Linked DNA regions of Oryzias latipes. The protein of the gene in region 3 interacts with the protein of the main gene of each other region in a pairwise test. Links are inferred from orthologs where the notes say so. Each region holds a gene or a part of one and is shown on either strand. Other genes may lie near its edges.

Region 1 (2,495 bases), on a different chromosome or scaffold from region 3:
TTCAGGTGGGATTGGTGAGCTGGGGCACCACGGACATCTGTGACCGTAACAACCGGGCCCACGGCAGCAACCGGCCCCCTCCAGACGCCCGAGACTTTCACATCGATCTCTTCAAGATAATGCCGTGGTTGAAAGAACATACAGGCAAGGAGATCAAGTTCCTGCCTGAGTTTGACCCTTGATGAGCCTGGGAAGATAAATCTGCTTCAGGATGGAACAGACACCGGAGCTTCTGCAACATCCAAGCAGAAACTCCTCTGTAAGAGATTTAAACATCGTCTTACTGGTCCAAAGCTGATTTGTCCATTTTAATTAGCAAACTAAAAACGAATAAAAATGTATTTTACTCTCTAAACTGAATGGCTTTTTCGATAGAATCAATAGAGAAAGAGTGTTGGTAAAGCTTTAAGCAGGCAGAGTGATGCCATGCTAGAATAAATCCTGACCAAAGCCCTCAAACCTCATCTAACCGCTTTGTTTCTGGGGCCAAGGCAAATATTTTCCTCTTAGCTTTTACTGACAGATGGTGATGGGGGGCCAATGTAAACGTTCAGCTCTGGAAAAAGGGCAGCAAACCACAGAAACAGGCTTAGGAAGCTTTAATGATTAGTATTTTAGCGCTGAGATGAAAACAAGAAGCAAATCCAACAGTCAGGGCAGCAGGTTTACAATCCAACTGTGTTGTACAGTCATGAGTTTAACTATAGTCGTTCAGTTAACATGCAGTAACGGCACAAAGGTTCATTGCAATATAAAGGCCATTAGCTGGAATTTACCGTCGCTTACTTAACATTTAGACATAGACCTTTATTTGGGGAGTCAGCCCTCAGAAAACTGTCGGAACAGAACCTCCGACTGTCTGTCCTTGAAATTTGGAACGAAATGGATCTGGAGAATCTCAGAGAATCCTTCGGAAAGAGCAGGAGCCACGAAGTGTTTCCTGTTTGGAGCAGAAGAGGAGACAGATCGTCAGAATGCTGGGATGAAGCAGAAATGCAGCAAGAACAAAAAACCTATGAATCTCTTTGATCCAATATAAGAGCAGAAAATACAGTGACATTTTAAAATGTGACAAATTCTAGTTTTCTTTTTCAAACTATAGTCTCCATCCAGTTGTTCTGCACCAGTGAGGCTTTTTGGGTGTTGACTAACATTTCAGAGGCCTTCACTCACTTGTAACTGTGGAAAACCATTTCATTGACCTTGGCGTGTTTGCCGTCAGACGGAGCCATCTCCCGGAACTGGAAAGGACAGAAAATCCGTGTGAAAAGCGCTCGTCACAGAGCTGAAACCAAGTCAGGCGTGGGGAGGGGGGTGTCGTACTCTGTTGTTGTGCTTGGCTTGCTCCAGAGAAGCAGAGAAGTGGAAACAGCGACACGACACTCCAGCTGCTTTGGCTACGTCCACATACCTGCACAACATGCAGACCTAAGGTCAATTCACCCGTTTAAAAAATGATTAGGATTCCTTAATGTTAAAGTAGCTAAAGTAGTAGTTAGTAGTAGTAACACTCTATAAGACAGTCCATTTTACTAAGAAAGAATCTATCAGCCTAAATCAATAGAAAGAAGCACAAACCACGAACTAAGCGGCTTAAATCAAAGCTTAAAGTAAACCAGCTGGAGACTACTCCACCCTGCCTGTGTAATTATTTCTGCATGCGTGTGTGTGTCATTGTTTTGGAACCGGTTCATATGAAAGGTGAGCTGGGAGCAAACAGGCAAACTGAAACTGATTAGAGCTTCACCGTTTGCGCGACTCCGGGTCTGGGTTGGTGTTGTCGACAGCAACGCTGCGTCCCTCGCTAAGAGCGCGCTCACACACCGCCACGCATTTCTGCCAGGAGCCAAGGGTGTCCTGAGACACCAATGAGAGGATGACGATGGTTGAGATGCAGCAGCCAGTGATGTCTGAGCGACCTAAAATACTTGCAGGAGAAACTCTCAGACGTGAAAACCTTTCTTTGTACTCCACTTACCCTGTTGACATAGAAGTAACCCTTTGGAATAACGTGGGCGTGGAAGAAGGTCGATTTACCGGCTGTAAACAAGAGGGAGTGAGAACAAAAGGCTGTTGGGAGGGGACATGGGTGAGGGCTGACGGAGAGCGGGCCTCACATGCGGGATAACCGACGGCAACGATGACTTCTGTGAGACTGGAGATGAGGGAGGCGGACGGCGGGTCATACAGCCTGGCAGCGGAGTCCAGCTTCCTCTATGAGGAGCAGACAACAGCTATTAGTAAACACAAACAGGAGGAACTTCCCTAAAAGCTGACCCTGCATCAAACAAGATGAACACTAACTATTGTACGTGTGGAAGAAGAAGCCCATCTTCTCAGTAGATTACCTTCAAAAACCTGATTCATCTGCATTACACAAAACTATTTCTCTAGGCACAAAGGTGCAGGGTGGAGTGTGTTGAATTACGCCCTTTTTAAGCCTCTGGGCGATGAATTCATGCAAACAAGCTCTGCAGCCTTTTTAAGGGCCGGGA
Region 2 (3,789 bases), on a different chromosome or scaffold from region 3:
ACGGCGGCCGCGTCGCAAATGAATATACCGGTACAAGTATTAATTACAACGCAGTATTCTTTATTAACAAATATGAGCAACAACTAACTAACGAACTAACTATACAGGCGTTGTAGAATGAGTATGTGTTTCTGTGTCAGGGCGCGTGCGTGTTTAAGAGGACTGAGCGCGTGCCACGTGAGCGCGCGTGAGAGCCTCTGACTCCGATGGGCTTTAGGCAGCGTGGGGGGGGGGGTCTTTTCCTCCACGTCTGTGGCAGTAAACCCAGACCAGTTCCAAACAACAAACTTCCCACTGTCACCGGTAGCCATGCTGTCGCTAGCTGCTTCGTGCGTCGATTGTCGCGTGTCGGCGTGTGACACCAACGCTACGGAAGCTCTGGGGAGCCAAAAATGCGCCACATAAAAACTTGATTTAGTTATTTTTGAAATCGCCCGTAACAAAAAATTCGAATTAATTCATTTGATCGATTTATCGCCCAGGCCTGGGAGAGAGGTTCAGATGACGATGATAACTAGAGAGAAAGAGAGACGATCAGCTGATGATGAAGAGGGGGAAGAACAGAGAGGTGCAGAAGAGAAGGCTGGGGCATTCCTTCATCAGAAGGTCCTTCTGAGTGGCCTTCACCTCACATTTAAACAATTAAAGTGTTGTAGGGGTGTTTAGGTAGCTTTAGGAGGGGTGGATGTGCATTTATGTCTGTGTGTGTGATGGTGGGGGGGCGTTTAAAATGTGACCGCGTACCGCCTACATATAAAATTGGGTAGTTGCGCCCCTGTCGCCAGCCTATTAAAGAATCCATGGAGCTGGAGCTAGCGAACGCCGCCGCTAGACCGTAGGTGCTGTCGTAGCAGGCTCGATCGCTGACGACCTGTCCAGGATGTATCCTGCCTTCATCCAACAGTAACCAGGACTGCCTTCGGAAACCCCGCGGCCCCAGCGGGTAAAACGGATGGAAGTTCATTAATCAGCCGTGTTGGATTTATTTTTCTCCCCTTTGATCGAGTCACTGTAAATGTCAAGTGCCCAAAGCTAAGTCCCTGATTGGTTCTTATCCTGCCGCAGGACCTTAGATCGTGTCTGTACATTGACTTATCATTGAAACTCGACGCCCTTGACCGTGAATCACATCCGGTGTGAATGCAGCCAAAGGGAGTGGTCCCCAACCTTTTTTCCATCACAGACCAGTTTAATGTCAGATATTTTCACCTGTTCCAGGCTGAAGTGGGCGTCCAATTTATTATTATTATTATTTTATTTTGACTTTTGAAAGGAATGTTATTAAATGTAGTTTAATAGATGAAAGCCTGAAGACAGACAGAGTATTGGAAATGTGGGAATCAGACTATAAGAGGTGGAGGCTTCCCAGACTGTGCAGACATCTCTACATTTGGATGGTGACTTCTGACTCCAGCAGCAGTGAAAGTGAACATCAGTGCGCTCACATACCTCTCCTAAAGACCTGCGTACTTCTGTCATCACACTCTGAATGTCTTCTTTGGTGCTGCAGTATTCCCCTAATATCCAAAGTGCTCCTCTGTAAATCCTGCAAATGCACCATTGTGACACAAATGTCGTCAAAGCCAGCACTATTGCAAACCCCTCTCCACATTATGTAATGGCTTTGTAGTCGAAAGCCTTACTTGACCGTTTTGATGGCGTGAAACACTTCCAGCATCTTTTCGATGATCAGAGGTCTCAAGTTGTCGAACCTCTGAATCGCCTCTCGCACGAATTCCAGCACGTCAGCAGCCGCCGCCTCGTTAGTGTCGCTCAGGAACTCCATCAGCTGGAACACAAACAGGTTCACCAAAACGCTCCGAACATTTAGGAGGCTGAGGAACCAACGGCATTTCAGAATGTCTGTCCTGTTTGTAGAGTTGGAGGAATAAATTACCACAGGTATGACGTTGGCCGCCATATCGGGGAAGCGCACACTGCACGAGTGGAGAGTGCGCACCAGGAGCTGCCTGTACTTGTCAGTGTCTTCGTGCTCTGAGACATTGTTTGTCTTGATCACTTCTTTTTTCAAAACGATCACCAACTGAAAGGAGAAGCAGAAACATTTTGCAACAAGTTATAATTCTTCTCCAATTTGTAAATAAAACCTACACAAACACTGATGTGCTAAATATGCTGCAGACCTCCTCCACGTTACGAGAAGAGACGAGGTCCAGCGCCAGCTGCAAGGTCTTCTTTCTGACTTCCAGGTCAGGAGTGCTGAGGACACGGAGGATGTCCATTACAAGGTCCTAAAAAAAATATGGAGGCAACTAAGAGAAGTCTCAGCAGATTGAACAATTGACAAACTGAAAACTGGGTCTCGACCAGACAAACAATATGTTTCACTATATGTTAATGAATTTTCTGGTAAAAAGAGAGACCATTTGATAACTTAAACTCACCACATTTGAATGTGAATTTCTTTTTTTAGTGTTTAGGAACTTTACTTTTATTTCTAAAAATGTCGACCCACCTGGAGAACCCGTTCATGAGTGGGATGATCCTTCAGTTCAATCAGACGATCAAGAACAATCAGCTTCACGTTGTTGTCACTCTCTTTAATGATCAAGTCAATATAACATTGGGCAGCAGCCTGGAGCAACAGAGAAGGCCACATATTTAGAAACTGATCAAATACAGTATGCTATCAGCTCTAAGCAGTATATGTGTTGCATGGAAACTGAGAGTTATACTAATATGAGAATATATTCACTAAATTGATGATAAAAGTCATGACAATGTACCTTGATAGCTGTAGGAGCACTGGAGAGGGTAACAAGAGTGCCTGCAGCTTCGTACTTCACAGCTGGACTTGAGGACTGCAAGAGGTTGAAGATGCAGCGGATGAACCGCGCTCGCTCAGAAGGGTTAGCGTGGCAAACCTAACAGGGAAACAAAAAGGGCTTCTATTTGAAATCTGATCCGATTGTAGGTTTTCGTGCTTTTAAACTGTGTAGTGCTCAAGCGCCTGGCTCGCCTTATAAATCAGCTCCACGATGACCAGCTGCAGGATGTCCCCAAAAGTGTGCACTTGGTCAATGCATGTGCTGAGGTAATCCAGAGCTCGATCCTGTTGAAGGTGATGAAAAAACAATTAGTTTGGCCTTGAATCTGAATATTTTAGTGCTACAAATAGGAACAGGTAGATTCCAAAACACTACTCACTTGATCTGCATGAATCAGCATCATGAAAGCGTTTCTCTTACAGCTGGCGTCTTTCTCATTGACGAGGAAATCGTGGATCAGCTCTGGAGCGTCCGGAATCAGATTCTCAAAGTTCCTGAACAGATCAAATTGCTTAACAATCTTCAGACTAATAGTATGCATACTCTGTGGGATGCATGTGAAAATGCATTCATGAGCATCTGGCACCTGTAGATGGTGTAAATAGCCAGGACGGCGTTGCGGCGCACATAGCTGTGGCGGTGCTCCAAGCAGGCGCGGATGGCAGGCATGAGAGGTTCCAGCAACTCCGACTCCTTCAGTTTGCACAGGAAACGCAGAGTGGAACCACGGATGAACTCGTTGGGATGTTGAAGATCCTGAGTTATTACAAAAAAAAGTTTGAAAACAACTGCTTCAATATTTAAAGGGGTCCACACCTTCACACCTTTAGCTTTAAATGAGTGCATTTCATGGAAGAAAACACTGCAAAGGCAAGTTTCACAAACATGTGGACTAAAAATCAGGATGGAAAACATTATCAAAGAGTACATTAATATAATTTTAAACTGCTTATCCAAAAACTGGACACAATTTGGGTTTGCCATAAGAAAAATAGTGGAA
Region 3 (2,682 bases):
GTCGCGCTGCCGCTTGTCCTCGCAGGATAAAGCAGCGGTGGGAGGGAATCACCTGTCGCCGGGCAGACTCGTGTCTTCGGACAGAAGCTGTTCTCCTGGATCAGAGCAGAAACAGACGATGCGCGCCTTTTTTATCCACAAGGACAGAAATGCAAACGCTTCTACTGCTTGACACAGTTTTCGGTCAACTCTTGACATTTTGGGTCATTTTATGTCACTAAGATGAATAAAAAAGAAGGATTCGATGCTGCATATGAAGAAACTCAGCCTTACTAAAGGTTGGATTGTATTGCAGAAGCCATTTTTGCTTCTCATGGAATTCTGGGAAATAATAAGCATTTTTACAAGTGTTGAATTATAAAATGTCTTATCTAGTACTCAGATTCAGTAGATCATTCCACGCTGGGGTTCATCAGAACCAGCTTCCTACTAAGTTCTAGCTAAACAAAGTATTATTTTTACTTTAATACATGTGATATCCCCAAAGTAGAAGCTAAATGTGTGAAGACAATAGAAACAGCAAATCATGGAAACATTTTTCCACTTCAAACATCCATTTAAGGATGCTCTTGTTTTTGAAATTCATTTCAATTCTTTAGATGTACTTCATGGAGTTTATTTTAGTTTTGTGGTTGTATTTTGTTCCTATTCTGCTGCATTATTGCCCAGACCTCACTTGAAAAATATATATTTTTTAATCTCAATGAGTTTTTCTCCTTCTGGCATAATAGAGATGATATAGAAATAATAAAAATGTAAAGAGAATAGATACATGTCAAAAAATTAATCTAGCTATGGAAGCAACAGCAGTATCAGCTTAAAACCACAAATACGAATGTTGGAAAAAATTAATATAAAAACCAATCAGGAAGTAAATGATCAATTTCTGGTAAACTTTGTCAGTTTCTCTTCTGGTTGTGTTTCTACTGTCGCTGCCTTTTATGTACATGTGAGGCAAACAAGAAGAAGCTAGCTTCTGCCATGGCGAGTCAAATACTATTGACTGAAGGTAAACTACAATGAGGGATGTGTGCTGTGTGCACTAAACATACTATAACCCTTTTTTCACTTCAAACAATACAAGTGACACACTTTTACCGAACCACGAAGAACAAAACAGTCTAAAAGACCCAAAATGACAGATTTTTTTATGTTTGAAGCGATTTTGTGAAACATATTTTAAGTGCCAGTAAAAAAACTTAATATAAAAGACTGTATCTATCACCTTCCATGTTTCGATTTGTGGGCCATGTATGGAGATGCATATTGAATCTCGTTAGAGGGAAAGATACACACCCATAGTTATTATTCATCCTATTAATTAAAGGTTAATGGCCGACAAAGTGTGCATTATCAGAAATTAACGCACAAAGTGGATTAATGTCTGATAATGCAAACTTCGAAGACCATTACCCACTTATACCATGGTCACTTACAAAAGAAATAAATATTCAATCAGTTTTCAGTACTTTCTTCTTGGTATTTTTTGGTTTGGATCGCTTTTTTCACACAAAGTAGACTATTTGTTATCTGGTGCGGCGCATTGTCACGCTACAGTGACAACAAGCCGCACCGACCTCCAATCTCGGCTGCAGCGGCAAAGAAAGGTGATATACCGGTATATGCTGGTCATACATAAAGCATCGGTTCAGAGAGAAAGTTCACCTCTTACCGCTTGTTTTTAAAGCAAAATTTTGTTTTTTAAAGAAGCTAGCGCAGTGATCAAAACCAATTCTATCACTGATTGGTAACTAAGAGGCCTACGAGGCTGATCAACTACTTTTAAAAATGTATCGATTTTTATGGTTTGTGTGGCTCGTCTCTAATAAATAAATAACTGAAACCTGGGGCAGTGTATGTACCTGTGCAGGGAGGAGTGTGGTTGTCATAGCGAGAGGTGCAGCTCTGCAGAGCTTCATCCTCAGAGTCACTGTCACTGCTGGTTGCCGCCACCAGGATGGACGATGACTGATCTTTAGTTATGGGGAGAAAAAGACAAAAACATTACAATTAGATCTAATATTTCACTTCTTTGTTCACCCGGCAGTAAAATTTCTGAGCATCTTGCACATGAAAATGAAGCAGACTTTAGGAAACTTCTGTCATGCTGCAAGAAAAACTTTGAAGAATTCATATCTCAAATTAGTTTTTTAATGCTTTTCAAGGCTCAGAGTTCAGACATTTTTATGTCAGAAAAACTTTATAGTAGAGATGCTGAGAATAAAGCTGGGGCCCGGATTTACAAGAAGACATCAACCTTCACTAGGCGGTGCATTGGTTCCCTCCAGCAAGGACTGATGGGAGTTTCCTGAGCCTCCAGCCTCACAGTCCAACATAGCAGCTCTGCAGGAAGAAGACATGCAGAGCGGTAAGAAAAGCCCACGGAAGACAGATACACCACGGACCTCAGCCGCACCCGGTTTTGCCGCTGCAGCTCTTGCTGGTGGTTAGGTAGCCTGGCCCCCCAAGGGTGAAGATATCGTCTCTGGATCCTGAGGCCCCGTACAGCTGCTGCTCCACACAATACTGCTGCTTGGAGGAGGAAATCTGCTCTGATGTGGAGCTGCCGAGGGACACCAGGGTCCCTGTAAGAACGTCAGCCTTCACCGCTCCTGGAACAGAGACAACCAAAATAAATGTCACATGCAGCAGTAGAACTCAGTGATCCATTAAAGACATGAC
Region 4 (3,789 bases), on a different chromosome or scaffold from region 3:
CAAACAGCCACCTCGTCCAACCCTGTCCGCTACAATTGCGACCCCCAACCTTAATGGCCCACGGACCGCTTTGATGTCTGGCTAAGTTCTCATGAACCGCAATATTATATATGGCGGACAAACACTGTAGCAACGCTACAACAGAGGCACAGCCGCGTGATAAGACGGACTCTGCGTTTTTCTTTTGACATGAATGACATTGAACATCGCACAGGTGTCATCATCCTCTCCCCTTCCCTCACTCATGGTGCTAAAAAGAAGTACAACAGTACAACATGAAGAAATAACTAAGGGTGAAATAATAAAGTTTTATTCTATTCTAAAACACATTACCAAATATTAACACAAATAAGATCATTAAGGGTTTTTTTAAAGGGTTGCACGGTGGTGTAGAGGTTGGCTCTCTTGCCTCTAAGTGAGAAGGTTCTGGTTCAAATCCTGGGTGGGCCTTTTCTGCATGGAGTGGGCCTGTTCTCTTTGTGCACGGAAACCAGATACTCTGGCTTCCTCCATAGTCCAGAAACATGTTTCATAGGTTAATTAGTATCTGTAAATTGTCCCTAGGTGGGCTTGTTGTTGTGCAGTCATGCAACCGACTGATAGTGGCTGGGATAGGCTCCAGCAACCCAGTGAGCCCAAAAGGGATGTGGCGAGTTTGAAAAATGGATGGATGGACTAATTTGCCTTTTGAGAAATTTCAAGAAGCTGAACAGGCGTTTCATAAACAGAGATGGTTATTGATCAAGCAGCTCAAAACAGCTTTAACACATCTGACTAACACGCCCTTTGACCTACCCCAACCACTCCACTGCTCACGGGATCAACACGAATCAGCTGATTCTGACACGGCGAAGAGCGGCTTTAAACACACAAAGTGTTGCTTAATAATCAGCTGGTTTACATTGTAAAGTGTTGCACATCAACGACGCGCTGCTTTTTTTCTGCAGGAATTCTGTGTAAACAGCAGAAAAGTTCCGGTAGTCGAAACACCGGAGCTAAAACTACGGAGTTAACGGGTTAACCGTCCAACCAGAGTTTCACTAAAAACTCTGAATAAAAGTAAGTATATGAATAATAACCTGCATAAACGTGTGAATAAGGTGTGGCTCAGGAGGATCACCTGATTGGCTGCTCTGCGTCAGGTGCTGCTTCAGCTGCAGAGCTCCAGGAGTCGGCACCGACATCAGGCTCTTGAATTCATTGGAGCAGCCGGACATTTCTCCAGACTGCATTGCTGGAAGACACAAATAAACAATGAGGGTCAGCGACCTCCTCCACCTGACCCGTCAACCTGCAGTCCTCAAGGTTCTGTAGATGTCCCCGCCCTCTGCTGGTTACCTGGTTAGTGTGTTCTATAGGAGGAGGTTTAGAAATAAGCAACAAAATCGATCCCTCTACACCTAAAATACAACACTGTTTCAACAAAAACATGAATGGATTCAGCTTTAATGCTATTTCCTTTATTTTTAAGACTAAAAAGGCTTTTCTATTAGCTGGTGAATGTGTATGTTTGTGGTTAAAGGTTCCTCTTTTGTTTACTTAATTTTTTTTTTTAAACGGGTTTTAAAACCAAACTAAATTGGTCTTAGTGTGATAATTTGCCAAATCATCTTTTTAACCAAATCTAGTTCAATTTAAAATCAAACATATTCTGCTTGCTGCTGTGGGAATATGGTTAGGTTAGGAATCTGGTTAGGTTAGGAATCTGGTTAGGTTAGATATCTGGTTAGGTTGGGATTCTGGTTAGGTTAGGAAGCTGATTAGGTAGAAATCTGATTAAGGTAGGAACCTGGTTAGGTTAGGAACCTGGTTAGGTTAGATATCTGGTTAGGTTAGATATCTGGTTAGGTTGGGATTCTGGTTAGGTTAGGAAGCTGATTAGGTAGAAATCTGATTAAGGTAGGAACCTGGTTAGGTTAGGAAGCTGGTTAGGTTAGATATCTGGTTAGGTTAGGAAGCTGCTCAAAACCCAATTTCTAACTGCATCCATGGCAGACACAGAGGTAGAGGCTAAGAAAGGTTAAGAGCATCTTCACATCTGATGACATCAACCACAGAGTTACTAAATAAAACAAACTAAGTCACTCCCTCCTTGAGTCTGTGGTAAACCACAAACAGACCAAGCAGCTCCTACCTATCTGCTTGGCGCGCCTAACGAGCTGAGCTGAGCCACTCACAAACAGCTGCTCCAGAGTCTTCTGCTGGGGTTTGCTCGGTTTGGAAGCAGTTCTGGAAAAGATGAAAATGAGGACGGCCTTTCAGAAAACAGACGTGTCATGATTCATGTGCTGCTGAGCCAAATGTTTACAATAAACTTTGTTGTGTTTCAGGACAGTACTTCACTGTTTGTAACATAAAAGCTAATTCTAAAGCACAAATCTGAACCAACAAAGGTTTAACCAATGAACAGCCTTGAAGCGTCCTGACAGATCTCTCTGATCACTCCTCCAGGACAAAGCTGCACTCACAGCGTGGCGGCGCAGGCAGAAGACGACACGCCGCCGTAGTAGAAGCCATCTTGACACAGGCGCTGTCTGAGGCCGCCCCCCTTCCCCTTCAGGGTGTTTGGGCCTTTTCCAGAGAACGATGACTGCAGCTCCGCCCTCTTTGAGCTCATCTTCTTATACTGGGCCTTGACATGGTACTGGCAGTACTGGCATTCGTACTGCAGAGAGGAGCGGATCGTGAAGGGAGGTGAAGGAGGAGGAGGAGGTGAAGAAACGCGGTTTCACTTAGGACTCACCAAGTTGACGATTTGAGAACAGGGATCTCCGTTCTTCTTCGAGGCTTTGCAGGTGCCGTAGTCCTGAGCTTCGCCCAAAACGAGCACCTTCTGTGGGTGATCCACCGTCAGACTCACCTAAAAAAATAATTTTAAAAATCCATTTCTGAATAAGCAAAATGAACCCGAATGCTGACATTCTGCTGATTCTTCAGCAGACATTATTTGAAGCTTTCTGGGATCGTCTCAAGATTCCCGATTGCACTTAAGGTACTAGGTTATTAAAAACAAAGGGGGAAACATTTGATTTCTTTAAAGACTTAAACCCCTCAACCTTTAGCTAAACCAGTGCTTCTCAAATAGTGGGGCATGTGATGCCGGGGGGCAAATTTATCGGGGGCCGGTGGGGCTCAGTGCTAGGAAAAAAAACTGTAGCCCACTATTGGTTTCCTATGATGTGTTGAATGACAGAGTTTGTATCAGCCTGAAACTGTGAATGGGCGTCTCTGGCGCACGGAGCACAGCCTGGATCATGGTTCCTTTAGATTCCTCAGCTCATGCTAGTAATGTCATTCTTTATTAAGAATTGTAGACATTTTGATGACGTATCTTTATTTTCCATCAATGTATTCTTTGTCTGCCTGTGGTTTAGTTGGTGTCAGTATTTGACATACAGACAGCAGGTAATGCAGGGAAACAGCTGCACTTTAGGAGATCAGAAATAAACAATCCATCATTTAGAAAAAAAATCATTAAAAAAACCATGCCTCTGGTTCGGCCTTTGTGACAAATGTTAGAACCCTTTGTGGCCCCAGGGTCCAAACGTTTGCCCACCCCTGATGTAAAGTGTTCTGAAAGGGATTTTGATCCAATACTCTGCACTACTGTTGTAAAAAAATGGTTTTGAGGATTTTGAGGTAAACATCATCAAGGAGGGAAAAAATACAACTTTCAAATAAATTCCCAAAGTTCAATCAGGAAAAGTTTTCATGATCCTGAAACGGAACCGGAAGGATCAACCAGCAGACGTCCTGTTCTCAATCATTTAATGTTTTCATTAAATACTT
Region 5 (4,355 bases), on a different chromosome or scaffold from region 3:
CTTCTGAAGTTACAGTAAAACACAACTTGGGGGCGCTCAAACACAAAACTGCCTTGCTGAGCACACATACCAGCGAAGAAGATAGACGCCAAGTAGCGTCTACACTGCTGTGAAGAAATAATGACGGACATTCTTAAATATCCCCGAACCAAGTACCAGTTGGAGCTACTGATGCTTGAAATATTCATGTTTTCTTTGTATGATTCTGACAAGCGCGTAAATACTTGCTCACTTCTTCTGAGTGAAAAGCGACTTTAAGAAGCGTAAAGGTGCGCAGCGCCACCTTGTGTACAGGAGTATTTCTGTTTACATTAAGCGCCATCTAATGTCAGGGAATGAAATTGCATGTTCGCTCGGCTCACCGTCAGCGAAAATCGCCTGGGTGTGAACACAAAAAACGTGGCGAAAAACGCTGGCGAATAACGCCTGGCGAATATTCGTCCCGGTGTGTACGGGCCTTGAGTCATTTCGAGTCACCCAGCCATTTGGCTGTGCTCTGGACGCTGCAGGGGGAGTGAAGAATCCTGGGCGTTCTAGTGTTAAATCGTAACTAAATTCTTCACCTGAACTCAACCCAAAAATATTTTTTCAGTTATAGAAATTATTAAAACATCTTTGTTAAGAAACCACTCAGAAAAACTTGTTGACAGATCATTTGTGTGTTTGTATCTCAGAGTAATGCATGGAAGACGGTCTACCTCTGAATCCACACTTGAAGCATCTCCTGCTTCCGTTTTCCTTTTCTCTTTCTTGTCCTTCTTCTTCTCTTTTTTCTTCTTGGATTTCTTCTCCTTTTTCTTCTTTTTGCTCTTCAAAGATCCATCCTGGTAAATGTTTGAATTTAGTTCTTTAAATGGAACCTCAGTTTGTTTAAAAAATATATTTGAATTGAAATAAATACAATTAGCAGGAAAAGAGTGAAGCTGCCAAAATTCTGCATAAGCAAATTTTGAAGCCACTTCTGCAAACATGAAGATTTACCAGCAAACGTTTAGCTTGAGTACAGGAAAAAAAAAAACAACTACCCAATATGTTGACATAAAAAAACAAATAAGTTTTCATGGTTTAAAAAAGATGAAAACTGGTTTGCTGTGAAGCAGGTGGTTTTAAATTCTAAAATGATAAATAAAACTTTATTTCTCCGACAATGGCAAACTCAAAGCAGCATGTAAGGAAAAAAAGATGAAAATTAGATTAGGTAAATATAAAAATAAGGCATAAATACTTTCTTAAGAAATGTGCCACCATTGGCATGTTTCTTTAACAACCTATAGCTCTAGAAAATGATTAAACATGATTCACGTCCAACTGCAGTCATCTTTTGATCCATTTTCAAAGCATTCCCAGTGGTATTTTAATAATAATTATGCTCTTTTAGGCAAAAATTTATAAAATCTGTGTTGTTTTCTAGGACAGTTTCTGCAGGGTGGCAGGAGTTCATTAGAAATTCACCTCGGAGTTGTGGGTTGGACTGTTGAAGTGCGCTCATTACCCATGAACCCTTTGTTTACACTCCCTCCAGCTAGCTCACAGCCCCTCACAACCCCAATCTAACATTACCGGTGCAACAAAACTGGCGAGCAGTCGTCCAGTTTTAAGACAGATTTCAGCTCAGACTGTCTGCTCCTGATTCACAACAATATGAATACAGAAATACTCAGAAATGCATTTTTAATCTCAATTTTCTTGATATATTTTATTCAACATGAGAAAAATGCAACAAAAACATGTTAAAAACAACATAAATACTATACTCATTGGAGTGGGTCTTTAAATGATGTATTTCTGTCATTGTGCTGCTTATTAAATGTCTTTCTGAAGTGAAACAGATACAACTTACGTCTCCTAACTGCTCCAGTCTCTGGTTGACTTCAGGAAGTATCCAGGTGTCCTCTCCTCTCTGCCTCTTCAGCTCCTTTCTCCTCTCCTCCTTCTCATATTGTTGCTTAGCCTTAAAAAAAATAACATTTATTATAATATCTACAGCATACCAGTATTTGTGGTTTTACAGAAATGTACTCACACATTATGTTAAATTATGCTGAAGTGTCTAGAAATAAATGGTAACACTAAACAAAGATTTGAACAAAATCTAGACTTCACATACTATTTTGGGATTATAAGTATAAATGTGAGCTGGAAAATTGATTACGATTATATATTATATTCAGATTATAAAAACAGCACAGAAAGTAAAGAGATTTGGCTAAATATGTTTTGCTGTATATCGGTTGAAGATAAATGTATAGATTGAGTTTTCCTCAGTTCTGGGCTCCACTCGGTTGTTGTCAGTTTCCTGGCGCTTGCGCAGAACAGATAAGAGTCTACAACACATTTATGTGCATTTAAAGGGAACAGCTGTAAGTGCTGCGTAAATAGCTATGTTCATGTTTGAATACAGCTATTAAGATGTTCTTGTTTTCTATCTGTGGACAGTGAATAACTACAATCTGGACAAAATGTAAACACGAAAAAGACAGGCTGCCGCCGTCTGCTGTGCTATATCGGTCACTGACTTTCACCACTTTCAGTGTTTGTGTCATATTTCCCTGCAAGCGTTCAGGGAGCATGCAGCAATGGTCCAAACAGGAATAATCTGAAAAATGTCCCGACAAGCGCTTGCTTAAAACTTCATCACGACAGCAAACCTTCTCAAAACGTCACATAGTCCCGGTTGACTTGATCGTTGATGGTACCATCCTTAGCATGTCGGTTAGCAGGTCAATCAATGTAAACAAAAACAAACGGCGGCGCGGAAATACTTCACATCTGCGTTCTAAAGAGTCCTAGTTCGTACCTTTTGTATCGCCTCTTGTCGCGCCTGTCGTTTCTTTTCTTTCGCTTCTTCGATGTTGCTGGAACTCTCAAAACTGACTCCGTACGCCGCCATAACTACGTCGTACACGGGTCTAGCCAACTGTCGTAAAACATCGCTGTTTACGACAGTTGTTTTGTGGTTCTTGTAGTTCCATTAACCCTAACCCTTAATGCCTAATTTTCCAAAGAGCTAAATAAGATGATTATGATAAATATAAGGCCCACTATCATTATTTTGTTCTATAGTTTTCAAGCATTACATGTGCAAATTAGCGGCTTCAGTGTCCAATGCAGACCTCTCCCATCATCTGTTGTCACCGTTGTCAGTTCCTGGAGTCCAAACCAAAACGGAGAAGCTGCATTCAGCTTCTATGCTCCACAGATCTTCTGGAACAGACTTCAGGAAAGCCTTAGATCTGCTAAAACACTCAGTTTTTTTAAACCCATGTTAAAGGCCCACCTGTTCTCAACAGCATTTAATTAATTTAACTTCAAAAGTTTACATCAGCACCGTTACTCTAAGCTTATTTTAATTTCCGTTCTTTTTAACTTTCTTTAATTTTTATTTTAATAATCACCCCATTAATATCTCCAGTAAATGTTTCCTTTAATGTTTTATGTAAGGCACTTTGAACTACCTTTGTACATAAAATGTGCGAAACAAACTTGCTTTGAAAAAATAAAGTTTGATTGATTTGCCTTAATGTTGGAAATAAAACAAAAAATCTGTGCTGGCTGCTCTCAATTTAAAGTCCCTGATAATTTCAAAGCACAAACTGAACTTAAAAGGAGACCAAAAATCACTTAGATGTGTTTCTTTTTCATTTATTGAATGATTTTAAATCCAAGTTGAAAACTCCCTTTTTCCCTCTGTCTTTTAGCTCAGTATGAGTTGGTGATTTTATTGATGTTTCTTACTTTTTTATTATGTTGTTTATTTTAGATTGTTGTTTTTTTTTAATCTTTCATTGTTAAGTGTTTTAGTCAGCCTCTGCTGGGTTTTTTTTTAAAGCGCATTATAAATAAACTTGACTTGACTTGAATTTTTAAAGATAAAAGAAAAATAAAATGATTTTTAAAATATGAAATACCAACAAGCAAAAACGAACAAAAGAGTCACAAATATCAAAGCCCTGTAAAAGACAGTTTCTCAAAAATCTACATTTATTAATTTCTCTTAAAATCTCAACAAGAACATCTTTTCATTTTGTCTCACTGTTCTGTTTTTTGTTCTGCCAAGTTTTTATTCGCACAGACATATCTTTCTGCATTCATTCCTTCTGCAACACAACACACCAGTTGCCCTGGTCATGGTAACTGCTCTTCACTTTGACTCCAGACACCTGAGCACACAGATGCTCCAGCTCCCCCTGCTGGAAAACATGGTAATAGCGATGAAAAACTGGAACTGTGCTACTCTCCAGTTTCAAAGCAGAAGCTGAAGCCTGAGGGAATGCTGGACTCAGCTTAGCATCTGCACGCTGGGAGGAGTTTGAGTCCGACCCCAGGCTTGAGTCGGGGCTGGAGCTTAAGTCAGG
Region 6 (4,540 bases), on a different chromosome or scaffold from region 3:
AGAAGTTTCCCGAAATAAAACTCCCTTCAGGTCAGAATTTAAATAAACAGGGAAAAAAATGTAGGTTGTGTTTTTACCATAGGCTGGTTGGGGACCACTGCTTTAACAATCATATTTCAGTTTTTGTATTTAATCGTTTTTAATATGCATACACGTCTTCTTCCGTCCTCTAGTGGTTGCTAAACAGGGAGAGTCGGACCCGGAAAGGAAGGAGACCCGGCAGAAAGTGGACGATGACAGAAAGCATGAGATTGAAGCCGCCATTGTTCGCATCATGAAGTCCAGAAAGAAGATGCAGCACAATGTGCTTGTAGCAGAGGTCAGTTGGTTCACACATTTGCTCTGAGGTGTTACTTTCTGTTGTTGTTTTCTGCTCTTTGGTGACAGTCCTTCTTAAAGACTGGCTTTTACGCGTCATGTCCCTCATTGGTGCTTGTTCTGTCTTCTCAGGTCACACAGCAGCTGCGAGCGCGGTTTCTTCCTAGTCCTGTTGTCATCAAGAAGCGCATTGAAGGACTCATTGAGAGGGAATACTTGGCGAGAACACCAGAGGACCGCAAAGTGTACACTTACGTAGCATAACGAGTGATGAAAGCAGAGCCCGCTCTGTGGTCTGGACTGCTTCTTGTTTAAGTCGAGTCGGACTTGCTTTCGTCGTTGATTCTGGGAAACACTGGGAAGCTTCAAAAACGTCCTCCACACAAACCTGTGAAGAATAATTCTGCAAAAGATGGTGACATTTTCTAGAGTTATTAGACTTCTTCTGAGTAAAGTGAGAGGAGTGGGATGTAGTTTTGTATAAAAAAAAAAAAAAAAAAAAGATTTTTGTGGCCTTTGGAGGAAACTGGCTGAGTCTTTGGGCAGTCACTGGACTCGTGACGCCATGGAGATCTGAAAAACATCGGGACTCCCCCTCTGTTTTAAATGTGGACGTTCATGTGTTATGTTTGTATTTTGTGACACAATAATAGTTGTACAGATCGGCGCGTCTCAGCCTTTTCCTCAAAGAGGATTTTTAGACTTCAAGAGAAAGATGAGGTGTTCCCTGATACAGACCTGGTTTACAGCAGCAGCCAAACAATGTTTGTTTAACGGAACATTTAAAAGCTTCACGTCAGCTGCAAGTTTATGTCTTTAGGGGGCGACACTCGTCCTTCAGCACAGCACAGACTAAAACAGAAAAAAGTCTGACCAGGTCTGTACCAGCAGCCAAAAAAACCAACAGCTTCACAGCATGCCTTCATGAATAAATGGGTCAATCACAGATACAAGACACAACTCCATAGATGTTTGGTCTTCAATGATGCAGCATAATCAGACAAATTGATCCTTCAATATTCTGTTCCTAGCACTGCAGGTTTCATAGATTTCCCTTTTCCACTGCATTCTGAACAGGTGGAGGCAGCAGAGTGCCACGCTTTAATATGTACAAATTGTAAAATAATTGTACGCGTTGCGAAGGTGGATTGTACAGGGCCTTGATTTCATCATATTAAATGTAGAAAGAAAAATATATTATTCCTGGTTTTCTATCCTTTTCAAGAGAAGCTCAACCAAAAAAAACTTTTTTTTCAAAAAATCTCCCATGTTTATATTTAGAGTACCATAACTTTATTTAACACCTTTTAAAATATTGTTTACACTCTATAGTGACTGCCCGCATATAAAAAATTGTAAAAAAATAAAAATTTTAATGCGTTTAGTCAAAGAATGAAGCCCTGTTTCAACTAAAGATATAAGGAAAAAGTTGTTAAACCAAAATAAATGATTTTGGGATTTTAATTTGAAATGTTTCACCCTTTACAAATACAAATGGATATTTAAGCATGCATTATTATGGAATACATCAGTTTGGAAGGAGAAGTTCAGGATCTGTAGTGGAAAAACACCAACAGATCAGCTGTCATATCTGAAACCCTCGTTCATTTAGTTTTTACAGATCCAGCAGAGACTAATGCGCTTATCCAGGTCTTAATAATGTGTTTCTGTTGGGGGTTAGACACCTCCTCCCTTCGCCTCCGTCTGCTCCTCCTTTGTCCTCACGTTAGACTGCTACCATCTGCTCTGTTGTTGTTGAAAGCCTTAACACTTGTGCTGCCTCCTTTCACTCCGCACGAGCGTTTGTTCTGCGGACGCTCGGCTTCGTCTTTTTCAAAGACGGCGGCGTGACGTCAGCGTCCAAGGCTGTGGAAACCAACCCGGACAGGATGCTCCGCGGTGTGAACCCCGCAACCTCCGCCCGCAGCGCGGCCCTGCACGCGAAGCTCTCCACCGGGTCATGAGAGGAGCCGCAGTGTTCGGTAGATGCGACAATGAAAAACCGGACTCCGGAGCAGAAACTGCCGAGTGAGTCCGCCGTGGTTTCCGCTTTAGCGTCAGGCTAACGCTAGCTGAGTAGCTCTCAACTTTTGTTTTCAAAACACAATGGGGTCGATTTTCTATTGAAAATCCGTCACGTTTAACTCCAGCAGCAGCATCTAAGTACTAAACCTGTTGGTAAAATGTCCCTATTGAGGTTCTTTTCATTCTGTATTCTCGTAAATTAACTTTTTTTTCTCCACCTCATGGGAGCTAACATATAAAGGGTTGTCATGGTGACCACAGCAATACGGCAGGTTTCTAAGACAACCACCGCAAGATGGAGACAAATGTTAGTGGAAAATCCAGCGTTTCTCTAAGGAGAATTGGTTCTGAACGGGAAAACAAAAAAAAATCAATTCAGTTCAATTCAATTATACTTTTTAATCTCACAAGGGAAAGTAAAGAAAATAATCACAAGATCAGGAGGAAAAAGTCGACATTTTACGAGAATTAAGTAAAATTATGAGAAAGCAAAAATATTACGATCAAATTCGTAAAATGTTGTTTTGCCTTCTGCCAAGAGTTTTTTGTTTGTTTGTTTGTTTTTTTACGCCGGATGCCCTTCCTGACACAACCATGTAATCTTACAAGGTTACAATTATGGTTCAAAAAACTCAAACTATTAGAAAAAAGTAATAAAATTATGAAAAAGTCAACATTTTATGAAAATGAAGTAAAAAAAACATGATTAAAAGAACAATTATATGAAAAAGTCAAAATGTACAAGAATAAATTCATACAACTATAGAAAAAAGAAAACATTTTTTTCATATTGTAAGTAAAAGTCAAAATTTTATGATTTTTATATCTTAGTCTCATAAGATGTTGACTTTTCTTAACAACTTATTTTATTTCTCATATTTATTTATCTATTTTTCTTTTATGGCGGCCCCAACATAATATTTTCTGGGTTTGTGGTTCTAAAAATGCCTTTTTTTTACCCAGGGATTAAATTTCCATTATAAAAGACTGATACATAAAAAACTAGATTTTTAACACATTTTACACACATAGGTCAAAAATAATTTGCTGCATTTACTAATTTGTGTATTTAGTGAAAATTTTCTATTTATTAATCCTTTCGGCTTTCCCGTCATATGTCATGTGTCCTTCGTTTTTTTGTCTTTGTTTTTCATTTTTGTCTCTAAAGAGGTCTACCCTTCTGTCTCTAAAATAGGATTTAATGCAAAAATTCAAATTATTATGTATAAATTGCACACTGTTTATAGTGTTCTCTCCCTTTAAAAACTGTCACTTTTGTTACTTTATTCTGCCAACCCTTTTTACAATATATGACTAATTGTGATGTTTTACTGCAGTTTTAAACCCCCAAAGGCTCCAGTGTTTCTAAAAAACAGTTTGAATTGTCTCTAGGGACAAACAGTTAGGGGTTTCTGGACTAAAAGATACATTTCAAGACTGGAAACAGGAAGAAAAGCTAGAAAACCTGCATTTCAGGTGAAGGAATAATTTGATGCCGTTTTTGTGTCTCTTTCAGATCTGATTCCAGCAGGATGTCCCTGTCTGTCTGTAAGTACTCCACTGTCTGGACTCGGCTTTTAGAAGATTGAATGGTGAACAGGAGGCAGAAGCTACGGTGTCATAGTTCCTCAACAAGTCAAAAAACAACAAAACCCTTCGTCATCCAGATGCCTAATAGTTGAATGATCTCCAAAGTTCTCTGATGTCTGCAGTAGCATCACCTCAGACTCTCCTGCTTGATGACTTAAACTCTCTACTAACACTTAAACAGATGTTACAGATGAACAACGGTGACCAACGTAAAAACAAATTACCGGTATTAAACATGCATTAAATCAAATCAGGTCAGACTGTTGAAGCTGCAAGAAAACCTAGGAAGCTTCAAAATGCTACTTGGTTTTCTATCTTTTACCCCTTTAAAACCATTCTTCTCATATTTGATTCACACCTTACTGAGACACCTGTCTCATTACAACGGTCCACATTTTCCGCAAAAACCCACCCTGCATAACTTGATGCATGTTTTTTGCCCTCTAGTGGATTATCACTCCACAGAGTGATGAGGCAGTGAGAAACACTTGTCTGCTGAAGCGTTTCCAACATCAACTGAAAGGTTAAGCTGCAGTGACCCTACTGCTGTGAGGAGAAACGCCACTGATCATTTTCCAGGATGGAAAACCCGACAGAGATGCAGCTC

The links.
Region 1: the proteins of trim37 (region 3) and pnkp interact in binary tests that used the Homo sapiens proteins (3 or more experiments, as listed by UniProt). The two-hybrid records come from large-scale screens. The link is inferred for Oryzias latipes from reciprocal best matches to the Homo sapiens genes TRIM37 and PNKP.
Region 2: the proteins of trim37 (region 3) and copb1 interact in binary tests that used the Homo sapiens proteins (3 or more experiments, as listed by UniProt). The two-hybrid records come from large-scale screens. The link is inferred for Oryzias latipes from reciprocal best matches to the Homo sapiens genes TRIM37 and COPB1.
Region 4: the proteins of trim37 (region 3) and mcm10 interact in a two-hybrid assay, tested with the Homo sapiens proteins (2 studies listed by BioGRID and IntAct). The link is inferred for Oryzias latipes from reciprocal best matches to the Homo sapiens genes TRIM37 and MCM10.
Region 5: the proteins of trim37 (region 3) and cwf19l2 interact in binary tests that used the Homo sapiens proteins (3 or more experiments, as listed by UniProt). The two-hybrid records come from large-scale screens. The link is inferred for Oryzias latipes from reciprocal best matches to the Homo sapiens genes TRIM37 and CWF19L2.
Region 6: the proteins of trim37 (region 3) and protein FAM124B interact in a two-hybrid assay, tested with the Homo sapiens proteins (2 studies listed by BioGRID and IntAct). The link is inferred for Oryzias latipes from reciprocal best matches to the Homo sapiens genes TRIM37 and FAM124B.

The regions. Positions count from the first base shown.
Region 1 is NC_019871.2:32,546,926-32,549,420, reverse strand, and holds the end of pnkp (bifunctional polynucleotide phosphatase/kinase), read right to left. Parts: intron 2,215-2,495; coding exon 2,118-2,214; intron 2,041-2,117; coding exon 1,979-2,040; intron 1,858-1,978; coding exon 1,748-1,857; intron 1,412-1,747; coding exon 1,324-1,411; intron 1,242-1,323; coding exon 1,174-1,241; intron 941-1,173; coding exon 820-940; 3' UTR 585-819; downstream 1-584. Other genes in the region: complement C2, read left to right, coding at 6-182. UniProt on the Homo sapiens protein: Plays a key role in the repair of DNA damage, functioning as part of both the non-homologous end-joining (NHEJ) and base excision repair (BER) pathways.
Region 2 is NC_019861.2:19,365,880-19,369,668, reverse strand, and holds part of copb1 (coatomer subunit beta), read right to left. Parts: intron 3,546-3,789; coding exon 3,376-3,545; intron 3,284-3,375; coding exon 3,169-3,283; intron 3,074-3,168; coding exon 2,981-3,073; intron 2,886-2,980; coding exon 2,748-2,885; intron 2,597-2,747; coding exon 2,477-2,596; intron 2,253-2,476; coding exon 2,145-2,252; intron 2,045-2,144; coding exon 1,898-2,044; intron 1,790-1,897; coding exon 1,644-1,789; intron 1,547-1,643; coding exon 1,450-1,546; intron 1-1,449. UniProt on the Homo sapiens protein: The coatomer is a cytosolic protein complex that binds to dilysine motifs and reversibly associates with Golgi non-clathrin-coated vesicles, which further mediate biosynthetic protein transport from the ER, via the Golgi up to the trans Golgi network.
Region 3 is NC_019872.2:24,841,509-24,844,190, forward strand, and holds part of trim37 (E3 ubiquitin-protein ligase TRIM37), read right to left. Parts: intron 2,613-2,682; coding exon 2,417-2,612; intron 2,344-2,416; coding exon 2,258-2,343; intron 1,974-2,257; coding exon 1,863-1,973; intron 96-1,862; coding exon 49-95; 3' UTR 1-48. UniProt on the Homo sapiens protein: E3 ubiquitin-protein ligase required to prevent centriole reduplication. Probably acts by ubiquitinating positive regulators of centriole reduplication.
Region 4 is NC_019881.2:2,768,420-2,772,208, forward strand, and holds part of mcm10 (protein MCM10 homolog), read right to left. Parts: intron 2,861-3,789; coding exon 2,744-2,860; intron 2,666-2,743; coding exon 2,469-2,665; intron 2,230-2,468; coding exon 2,135-2,229; intron 1,235-2,134; coding exon 1,121-1,234; intron 1-1,120. UniProt on the Homo sapiens protein: Acts as a replication initiation factor that brings together the MCM2-7 helicase and the DNA polymerase alpha/primase complex in order to initiate DNA replication. Additionally, plays a role in preventing DNA damage during replication.
Region 5 is NC_019871.2:20,782,510-20,786,864, reverse strand, and holds the start of cwf19l2 (CWF19-like protein 2), read right to left. Parts: upstream 2,930-4,355; 5' UTR 2,891-2,929; coding exon 2,798-2,890; intron 1,952-2,797; coding exon 1,841-1,951; intron 825-1,840; coding exon 699-824; intron 1-698. Other genes in the region: alkbh8 (alkylated DNA repair protein alkB homolog 8), read right to left, coding at 4,089-4,355.
Region 6 is NC_019871.2:22,277,580-22,282,119, forward strand, and holds the start of protein FAM124B, read left to right. Parts: upstream 1-1,618; 5' UTR 1,619-2,278; coding exon 2,279-2,346; intron 2,347-3,859; coding exon 3,860-3,891; intron 3,892-4,540. Other genes in the region: cullin-3, read left to right, coding at 174-319, 451-582.